Linked DNA regions of Caenorhabditis elegans. The protein of the gene in region 1 interacts with the protein of each later gene in a biochemical or structural test. Each region holds a gene or a part of one and is shown on either strand. Other genes may lie near its edges.

The links. Proteins that work in one complex are often made in the same cells at the same time.
Region 2: the proteins of frpr-8 (region 1) and flp-2 interact in a test that uses a peptide from one of them, tested with the Caenorhabditis elegans proteins (one large-scale study listed by BioGRID).

The regions. Positions count from the first base shown.
Region 1 is NC_003284.9:8,695,546-8,703,873, reverse strand, and holds frpr-8 (G-protein coupled receptors family 1 profile domain-containing protein), read right to left. Parts: upstream 6,058-8,328; coding exon 5,834-6,057; intron 4,956-5,833; coding exon 4,853-4,955; intron 4,566-4,852; coding exon 4,344-4,565; intron 3,340-4,343; coding exon 3,098-3,339; intron 2,766-3,097; coding exon 2,622-2,765; intron 2,129-2,621; coding exon 2,006-2,128; intron 1,958-2,005; coding exon 1,873-1,957; intron 1,718-1,872; coding exon 1,682-1,717; intron 1,178-1,681; coding exon 1,052-1,177; downstream 1-1,051.
Region 2 is NC_003284.9:10,093,930-10,096,926, forward strand, and holds flp-2 (SPREPIRF-amide), read right to left. Parts: upstream 1,296-2,997; 5' UTR 1,227-1,295; coding exon 952-1,226; intron 746-951; coding exon 700-745; 3' UTR 501-699; downstream 1-500. Other genes in the region: W07E11.1 (glutamate synthase (NADH)), read left to right, coding at 1,605-1,760, 1,819-2,091, 2,438-2,590, 2,774-2,852.

The DNA.
Region 1 (8,328 bases):
ACCCGCGAGGTGTCCGCATGTGCGCTATACACACTTCTGCTTTACGTCTATTTGAACTGATGTGCACCAGAACGGATATATAAAATATAAATGGGATATTGCTCGCCATTTTTGTGAGAATTTTTTTGCTTTGTCCTTCACGAAAGTAAAAGAATTTTTTTTTTCATCGTGAATTTGATTTTTCAAAAATCCTTTCGAAACTTGACCTACCAATTTTATTGAATATAATATTGACACAGTTTTCAAAGTACAATGGTTCCCTGCACATATCGAGCGGATACACATTTCAGAGTATTGACTGTAACTTGATAAACATTTAAGCTGTGCCTGCAAATTTTATGAGGCATCCCCACCCTGAATTTGATCGAACGATTTGTCCGAATGTATTCATATTCCTAGTAAAAATATTGGGACTGTTGAGTGAGGAAAATCAATGAAAATAATTGAACATATATTATTCCCGATTCCCAAAAGCTTAAAAGATAAACATAAGCATAATTTTGAATAAATAATACTTTTTTTTAAATATACGAGAAATTTACTTTATTGGACCATTGCTGTATTTCACAATGAAATCTTGAGCATTATCATCCAAAAACGTGAATTCAAAAATTGCGGAGAAAATATAAAACTATATAAGTCTGAAATAATCAAACTTGGACTCAATTAACAATTTTCCGAGCAATTTTTAGTGACACTTAAGTAAAACTAGCCAAGCTGAAATGAATTGGTCAAATGTTAGCAACCCAAGAAAATGAATACAAAAGAGATCGCAAGAATCGGGATGATTTTGGAGGGAGATGACCAGTACTACTTTTAGACTAGACAATTTGTAACTAGTAACTTTTGATTATGGCAGGCAGGTGAAAAATAAATATTAGAAACGAAACAAAAAAAAACAAAACAGAAATGAAGCGTTCAATTCATAATGATATTGCAGTTCTTATCAAATAATACATGGTATCGAAAAAATGCTCAAATTAACAAAATCCATGAAGATGTGCAGTAAAGATATATACAGAAACATGATAAAGGTTTGACGTGTTTTCCGTTATGAAGGTGCGCTTTGAAGCGAAAGTCTGTTTTGAGCACTTGTGTAGATTACTGTATCTTTTCGAGCAGGAGCTGCTTGATGTGGTGCACCACTTTGACTCCGTTTACTCCATCGGCGAGAACTCTGAAACACAAATTTTTGAAACTTTATGGAAACTTTATTTTACATACTGTATGTTTGAGTATTATAGTTAATTACTAAAGAAAAAATGGATGTTTCAAATATGAACGTCAAACTTTCGGTAAATTAACAAATTACCAAAACAGTAACGAAACAGCTATATTGTTTAAATATTATTGATGGAAAGATAATTAAACTGTGAAACTTGTTTAAAAAATTTTGTCCGCTTTCCACAGTTATCATATTAAAAAAATTTGCTTCAAATTTATAAACTACTCTATTTAAAACGCATTAACCCCAGTTTCCAATCAGAACAAATTATGTTAGAACCAATATTATCAAGAAATCAAAAAATAAATCAAATAAAAACTCTAAGAGGTTGGAGATTAAGTATATTGGGGAAAATGGGTAAGGTACATGCAAATCAGTCCGGGGAGAAAATGAAACTGCACACGAACTAAATGCGTTTCTAGACAATATTATTTCTATTTTCCACACAAAACTTACCACCGGGTAGGTTATGAAATTCGAAATCGTCATTCGCTGTAATGGTTCTTTTGAAAACAATTTACAAAGCAGTATACCAAAAAGCAAAAGCATAGTAAAGAAATATGAAATTGTTTTCAATTAATCGAGAATGTTCATTAAAGAAGAATAATTAATAATGAATGTACCGATTTACTTTTTTTAAAGCTTACCCTCGCACTTAACAGAGCAGTACTGGCGTCCAAACTAGTTTTCCTCGTCGTACCATCTCTACCATCCCAATCACTGACCATGCTCCTGAATGACAATTTTTAGAAAATTTGAACAATGCAGTGATAGAATTACTGAGGTGGGTACCTTCCAACTTTGAGCCACTCCATCCATCGACTTTGTCGCCCGCAAAGCATGAGGACACACATTTGACGAAATCGGGCTCCGAATAACGAGTAGATCACGATGTTGGAAGCGCTAAAGGTTATTTGTTCATACATACAATTCAAAAACCTTGCCACACTAGGGCTTAAGTTCATTTATTTTTCATTCAATAACTCTATTTGAAAAACGATTCAGCATCATGCACTTCCAATTTTATAACCTCTGTGATATAAAATTGGAAGGTGGTGTTTGGTATAAAATGTTTACTTGTTCATTTTCAAAAGTTTGCGTTGATGTTGAGGATTTTAAACTTTTAGATTGAATGATTTATTTCACCGAACTTGATTCAGACTTCTTTGAAAATTTTTTTGAAATTACTTAGGGTCATTTTCAGTGTTTCAAAGCATCTTAAAATCATGGCAATATTTGGAAAACATTTCGAAAAGACAGATTGAACCCAAAAAGTAACCCGGAAAAGTTTCTTTTTCCATACTAATGTGCTCTCTGCCACTTTCATGTAGAAACCGATTCTAAAGTTTTTCGAGCACACAGCTTCTAACACGTTATAATTACTAAAACTTCTTACCTGTTTAAACAAATTAGCAAATTTCCAATGGGACTCCAAAATCCTAAGCTCACTTCGAACACCGTCTCAGCCAAGTTGTTCACTGCTGCTACTACGTTGAAGATCAAGAAAGTGAGCACCATAGCGATGGCCATAAGAGTGCATCTGAGACTGTTTCTGAACTTGGGAGACAAACTGTTTTCTACTGTTTTTGAATTTTGTCGAATCGAAAAAAAAGAGGGAGAAAAGTTCTGAGCGATAGTTGTTTTCAGATAATAAAAAATAACAAAAACATGCAAAAATCAAAAAAGCTGGTTCGGTTCTTGTAATAAACGTTAGCAGTCCATGCTTGAAATAAGAAAAATAAATAATCATTAAAAAATGTAAATCGATGTATTTGAAAATTTTTAAGAAACTAGAGAACCGAACTTAACATCAAAAAACTGGTGAAACCAAAGTTTAAAAAATAATTAAAAATAAAAATGATAAAACCACACCTCCGATCTTTTTCTTCTTGATTATTTTTTCCTCCTTGCATAGACCTCCGAATCTTATACGCCTTGTGTACAGCCTTTACCACAAACACATTCAGTATAATCATTACTGTCCATGGAATCAATAACAGCGCGATGAGGTACCCAAATGTTACGTAGTACTCTTTGTAGTACTTATTATCCCGCAGAAATGAGGTTCTCAGTCGACCACAGTCATCGTTGGTCAACTCGAAGAACATTGGTGCCTGAAGATGACTTGTATCACGGATAGTCGCCTACTAAACTTATTACGATGTTCCTCAGTTTGCAAAGTAGTACATTAATTTAGAACATTTAGAATAACAATCCATATAGTCTTTTGAATCAGAAAATAACACAAAAAAAGAAACTACCAATGTTGTATTCACAACCTAAAAGTTTTGCGTGGTTCAAGTTGGCCGTAAAATTAAAACAAGATGAAAAAAGGTAGGGATTTTGTATAATTGTACCTAACTCATTTTTTTTAAATTAAATTTTGAGCTAAATATCAGTGCTGTGCGGCTTGCGCCGAGAGCCGACTTTTTTCAAGGGCCGCACAGCACTGCTAAATATTGAAAAATCTCTAAGTTATTCATTGAAACTAGGGGAACCTAAAAAGCGTATTGTAAGTTTTCTAGTGTTTTTGAGTGTACTTTTTTTCAATTTGTAAAATTACAATCTGATGGAAAATAATTTATAAAAAACAGCGATTTTCGAGTTAATATTAAATATTATAAATACTGGAATTTCAAGCTCATCTGCTTTTCCTCCACAGAATTTTTAATTTTGTGATAATGTAAATTACGAATTAATTTTTTTTCAACTTTCATGTTTTCCCCGGTGTCTTAGAAATCAAAGTCAGTAGCTCTTGTGTTTTGATATACACACGCAAATGTATATTTTAAAAATTCTAAAATAAAATTGAACATTTTCACACAGTGATCAACTTATTATCAATGAACAGTGTGCTGACATGTTTAATATTCTGAATGCTTGAATGATTTTAAAACTGGGGTCACAAACTCTAATAGCATTGATGTTTGTTTTCACAAGAAATTTTATTTTAAAAAACCTTTAAACTACAATTATCGTAGCAACAGACTTCCGTAATATGCAAATTTGATATATTATAAAAACATTACTTTAGACCATAATAGTCAGGATACGAAACTTTAAAACGTTGTGTGTATTTCGAAATACAAAATAAAAAATTGACAATTCTTGTACTTACTTTGAACAATATGCTAAAAACCGTAATCGCAATAAGTATTGTTGTTGCTCGGCGCGGTGTGCACCAAATTTTGCTATGAAGCGGATAGTTAACAGCAAGAAATCGATCCACCGTCACTGCAACACATGTCCAGACACTACCACATTGTGCGATATTTGATATGGGTAACGTCCAAGGAGTTGATCTCCAGAAGAAATGACAAACCGCGGTGTCCCCGTGACCCTGAATAGTTTATTTGAATTATTGCTAACATAGTTGTTTTTAGTGGTGTTCTGAAACATTCATATTTCTGGAAACATAAATTATACGCAGTTTCTAAGACATTAGAAAATTATTTCAGACCTTGATGAAACTCGAAGTTTTGAGAAATATTAAATCCCTCTTCAATATCATAAATAACTTTTTTCATTTCTCTTTCCGTGCTATGAGCTTATCGATGAATAAATTGATGGACATTTCTTCATCTCATTACAAATTCCACTGAATATCAACCAGTTATCTACGCTCACCTGCAAAACGCAACCTTGGAGAGGTGAAAAGATCAGAGCACTGAATGAAAGCAGGATAAGATCGAAAACCGATAATCCGGCAAGATATACGTTGAGTGATGATCTGAAGTTAAAAATATTTTGTATTTCTATGTATCCTTATTTGCTCTTTTTTCTTGAAATGAGTATTTGAACAGACTACCAAAGAAAATTAAAACTAAATAAATGGGGAACAATTTGATGTCATTAATTTTTCAAAAAGATTAATACAATCAAAAAAAATCATAAAAATGTCGTCAGTTGTACATGAATTAAAATGTTTATTAAGGGCCAAGAAAATTTGAAATCACTGTTTCAATTGAATTGTGCAGCAAGAACAAATTGAAAGATTTATTTGAATAGTTTTTGATCATTTTTTGAAATGAATAGCAGCCTAAAGCTATAGCTCGTTTTTGACTAATGTGAGGTAAATTTTTATAAATATATAGGCTAATAAATATTTATTTTTAGAACTAAATAGCGTATTTTTATCAGGGAAAAACATTTGGTGTTTCCCTAACTTTATTTTTGATTTACTTGTTGGACAAGACTCCTTCTTTATTCGACAAAAAAGGCAGAAACATAATTTGTGAAAAAAAAAACTGCTATCGTTTTTTTTTCATATAAAAATTATTATTTTCCTGTGAACCATTTGGGGTACAGATATACACGCATCACATATTCATTTTTTTAGAAATAATGATTAAACATATTACCTATCCACGTTACTGTGTTTGTTAGAAGATATAGACGCAGAAAAATGAAAAAGTTTCCCTCGTACACGTTTCCGTAAGCCACGTGACTTCGTCGTCCTTTCTCAAAACGTTCGAAGTCTTTTCGTTGCGGGGAACAGATTTTCTTTGCGTCTCTTATATTTTCTAACTTAAAAAGTGAAGTGGATAGGTAATTCGAATTCAGTCCTTTCTAGATATACTCTCACAAGTACTCTTCAATAAAACGAACCTCATTTGTTTCCTAGTGAACACCACAATGCACATTACCGCAGCGCCGGCTCCCAGCACGCAAATTGTTGGAATGGCAAGCAGGTAAATATATGTGCTAATGTAATCGACCTCCGCAAAATTAGTTGGATAGCTGCATGTTCCTTTTGTACTTCCAGAAAAACCTGGCTGATCCGTAGTGACCAGTGTAGAATTATTAAGAAGCGAAATAACTGTCGAGTTCATAGCCAGAGGCCGAAGTGGTGTGGCACACACTGGAACACGATAAAAATTGGTTTTAGAAAGAAAAAAGGCTCTAACTAAGAGATAATTGAGTTTTGGTTGAAACGAAACAAAAAAGCGAAGACGGAGCAACCAAAGTTCAAAAGTTGAAAAAAAGAAGCAGTGACGTAGGGGTCTATTCAAATTTAACGATTAACATACATCCTTGAAAATGGTATTAGGTGACTAAATTCTTCAATATAAAACTTGTAAAACAAAACGAATATATATGAAACTTCGGAGAAAGTAGGAAGTAAAATTTATGGTATACATACTAACACAAAAATGAACTTGTAATTAGTTTATTCGAGCGAATAATTAAATGAGAACTTTTTTTCAAAATCAGAGTTTTGGTTTGTTAAGAAAAAGAAAGTAAACTAAGATAAGAGTGAAAATTTAAAACAAAAACACATAGTTGACAATTTCAGTAAGATACGTTTTTGTTACTCGTACTTTCAAAAAGTCTAGGAGAAAATACACTTATTTTCGAAAATTTTGAACAAAACCATCCACTAATTTCTTAAGTTTTTCTTTCTTTTCAAAACAAAAAAACAGTTGGATCTTCAAGACTAACTAGTCTTACTTTATTGATGCCTTACAAAATGGCTTCAAAAAAGTGAGTTCTGGTAAATAGTAGGGCATCAATGAAAAGACGAAGCAGAATTGAAATATACTACTAGTCATTTTTATGATGTTCGACTATATATAGTATCAAGAATTTGTGAATAACTACTGAGAAAAAGGGGACTGCATGGTCAGTAATGAATATGTTAGCGGAGAAGTGGAAGCCAAAAAGTCGTGAACGGCTGGTATCATCACGTAGCTTTCACAAAAACAAAGGAGGTTCTTTGAATAAGCAATGATGATTGAAGAAATGTTATTTGATATTTGAAACCTGTTCCAATTACGGGGAATAATAATTTACGAAAACTCACTTTAAATATGATTTGTCAAAATACAAGATTAGTTAAAGAAGTATGGTTTTACTGAGATATTGTACCCAAACCAAAATCAAAGAGCGATAAAGACTTGTTTCTGTTTAGAAAAAGAGTTTGAAAATTGGATTCTTTGTATTTTTAACTTTTATATGTAAAATAATACAATGATAAAATTTTTTCAAACGATTTTGATCAACTTATTCATTCTAATTGTAGATATACTCACTCACCAAAATGAAAAAAAGTTTAAAAAAAAAGAAAATTAACATGATGTCATTGTAATTTCCGGATAAAATATATACTTTAAATTGAAGACTTTGAAGAAAAAATTCATATTTTTTGGCAAGCTCTAGTTGACCATTCACATATTTCATAATTCATAGCTCAAGGACATATTTTTACACTCGTTGTTCAAACGAGCATTTTCTTGGAAAAAACATTCGATGTATTTTTGGAAGATGTATTCACTCTAAGAAAAACAAAAATATCGAAGTTCTAAAAGTGAGCTCTTGATATTCTTGCGTATTCATTTTAGCGGAAAAGTGAGCTTGACTCAGATAGTCATTATGTGCAAAGTTGTGTACGGAAAAATAGTCTTAAAAACTATAACGATAATTATCGAATTAAATTGAAAATGAAGGAAATGGATATGAAAAATACATTCGTGAACTTATAGGAACTGCAAAAAAAGCAAGAGGTGGATTATTCATTTCATACTTATTTAAAACGAATAAATACTAAAAGTGGAAGTAGAAAAAAGTTCACATATCGAATGAATCATGAATGAGAGCAAACGTTGTCTCGGGAAGACTGAGAGCATTTTCAGCTACGAAACCCTCAAACATGGAGTCAGTATCTCACGCGAAAGATCGTCATCGAACCGCGTCGGTCATGGTTCACAAAATGAAAGGAATAACGTAAAGGATATGGGCAAAAATCTATGGACTATCTGAGAAATTAGGGAAATGAGCATAGATGACGGACAATCCGGTTTTTTTGTTGCGGTAAGTTGAAGTAAAATACAATACTATCAATCTGATAGTAAGCTTGATTAGTACTATCCAAACACAAGTTTTAAATTTGATGAACTGACAAGAATATCAGTAACTATTGGGTAGGACTTGGCTCGGAAAACTAGGAATTAGCATTAAAAAAACAAAAACAGGATCAGTTCTGAAAATAAATTTCATATATCCAGCTATTTTAATTCAAAACTAATGGGTCCTGTGAAATATCAAAATTGTATAGTTTACTAATGAAAACCCTTAAACAGCCTGAATTTCAGTTTTTTTTTTGT
Region 2 (2,997 bases), 1.4 Mb from region 1:
CAAAACGTAGATAGACATTTGTTCTCAAAAAAGAAAGAAATGACAGAATCCGATTGGTGCCTGTTGGTTGAGATGCCACCTTGTCGAATTTGTGAAGCGAAGCTGATTAATGAACTGAGCTTTAAGGAGGGGGGATTTTCTGTTTTTGAATAATTAAACATTATTTTTTGTCAAAAACGTCACTTGTCAGAACGCGAGAAATGATTAAGTAGGTTGAACTAATCTTGTTCTCAAGATTGAACAGTGTTTTGAAATTAAAACGAAAACTAATAAATCAAAGCTTCTTGGAAATTCTAGCACCTTCCAAAGTCACTCCACATGTTTAATTATGAGCACTCATTGACATTTCCGAAACAATTCTTTGAAGAACTAGCAAGACTGAATTTTAAAATTTTGATCTTGAAAATAGTGTGCCTCGTTTTCTGACCTAATCTGGCTAAAATCTGAAATTCAGTGCCAGTAGTCGTTTCCTTTGTTCGCGAAGAAAACGTAAGACTTGGTTAACAGATGGGCTATTATTCCATGCGGAACCCAACCACTTTATTCGAAGTTATAGGAAACATAGTTTAAAAAATGTTGTTGCATTGAAAGTACGGATCAAAATATAGGACGAGAATGGGAAGAAAATGTTGGAATATCTAATATGATGTTGGCTGAGTAGTGGGGTTCACCGTGCATTGAATCATTGATAGGATGGAGTTATTGGAAGTCGTAATCTGGCAGCGGATTGAATCGTTTTCCGAAACTGAAAATAATAAAATAAATTCTATCGATCTGCAAGTGTATTAAACATTTTTGTAAGAAGTGATTCTAGTAAGAATACATGACGTTTCCAAATATGTGTTTGGGTTTTAAGCTTGATTTATGTTGTTTTTCCAAATTTTGAAAAAAATTCGGAAACTTTTAAACTACTTGATATACTTCATATCATCAATTATCTCTCATACTCACCGAATGGGCTCGCGCGGGGAGCGTTTGCCAAAACGAATGGGTTCTCCACGAAGACGTTTTGCCATTGCTGAAGCTTCGAAAATTCCAAGAGTGTTGTCGTTGACAGCTGGCTGGGCGACAGTAGTACCCTTTAAATAAGCTAGTTGGCCACGTAATAACTGATCCCGACTAGTGGGAATGGGGAGTATCCGCTTTGGTTGCACAAACTGGAAGGGACTTACAATGACGGCGAGAAGGACGAGGAAAAGAGCAGATAGGATTCCAGAAACTTGCATGGTTTGCGACAATTGGTTTGGCAACGACTGACAATGAGTCAGACGAAAGCTCTGTGTGCGGGTGTGTACCTGAAAATGGAGAGCTTTTTCACACGAGATCGTTTTTGGCAAGAGATAGTAAAACGAAGAGCAGATAGAAATGTAGAGAAAGTGGGTGATGCGTGCTCATTAGCTCGTACAGATCGGATTACAATGTGAACTAGCGTCAAAGAGCGTTGGGCGAGAGCAGTTGCGCAATAACATCTCATCATGTAGAAATGGTGATTTTGAGTGAAGACGTGAAAGATCAGACTAGTGAAGCACGCGCAAAAGTCTCCAGAGGAATTAAATGAATTGCAATAAATAAGTTATTTTAATTATAATCAATGTACTTTACAGGATCGTCTCAAACCCGGACGCATGCTCCTTGTGGACACACATCTCAAAAAGATCGAGCTCGATGAGGACCTTAAGACAAGAATTGCTTTGTCAAGACCTCATAAGCAACTTTCCGCATCGAGAATCTACTTGGACTTGATTCGCAAGGATGATGTGGTTAGTAGTAAAAGACAAAAAAAAAATTGAATTGTGACAAATTTTAACTAATTTTTAGCTCTCTCACGGTGCCGTCACCAATGAATACCTTAATCGTCTTCATTTGGAGCAGGTGAACCCTGGTCTTATGAAGAAAAAGGATGTTCATCTAGACTCTGACCGTCGTCTGGCCTTGTATGCCTATACCCATGACACTTTCAGCTTGCTCTTAGTTCCAATGATCAAGGAGAAGAAGGAAGCTCTCGGGTCAATGGGGAATGATGCTGCGTTGGCTTGTCTGTCTGATTACAGCCCGCTGTTGTTCAGTTATTTCCAGCAACTCTTCGCCCAGGTGGGTTCATAAGCAGAATGGGAAAAAATGAGTAAAGAGAGTAACCAACGGTTCTTCGAAGTTCAAATCTAGAAAAGTAGTCGGAGGCCATTAAATTGTTTTGACTTCATTCGCATACTCCTCCTATTCTATCCATGTAGTTGATTAGAAAAACAAACTTAAGACTGCCCAAAATCGTAATTTTGAGGAACGACGACTTTTTTTGGAGAAATGTATTTTCATTTCTAAGCTTGTTTAACTATGACGTCCGAGTGAAAGAATTAGAAAAAATTGTTCATGAAAATATGTATTAAAAAGTGAGAAAAGTTCCTGGTAGAGTGAACACAGATTGAGCACTTGATTACAGGTCACCAACCCACCAATTGACCCTTTCCGTGAACAAATCGTCATGTCGTTGAGATGCCCAATTGGACCTGAGTCTAACATGCTTGAGCCAGACACCGAACTTGCCAGTCGGCTCATCTTGGAGCAGCCAGTTCTTTCAATGGTTGATATGGAGGTTGGTACATAAAGGGGAAACAAGGAAGAAGATCATACAAATGAAAAAACCAGAGGAGAGCTAGCGCATTTATAGTTTTGCAATTATCTGAAACTGGCTCCAAACTCCTCCTTTGTTTGTCTTGTTGGAATTTCTCATGACGCATCAAATCAATCATTATCATCTTCAGTATTGCAATTTCAGGTCATCAAACGAACTATGTACAAGGGATGGAAAGCAAAGGAAATTGACATCACTTACCCAGTCAAATATGGAGTGAAAGGTACTAAAAACATGAGGATGTTAAGGAAATACGTTTTGATGGGGCTAATCTTCAAGAAAGTTGCAATTTTTGCGGGCGACGATAGATAATTAGTGGCTAGAATGAGTGGAAATGACTTAGGAGAAGTGCTAAAGATAGTTTTGAG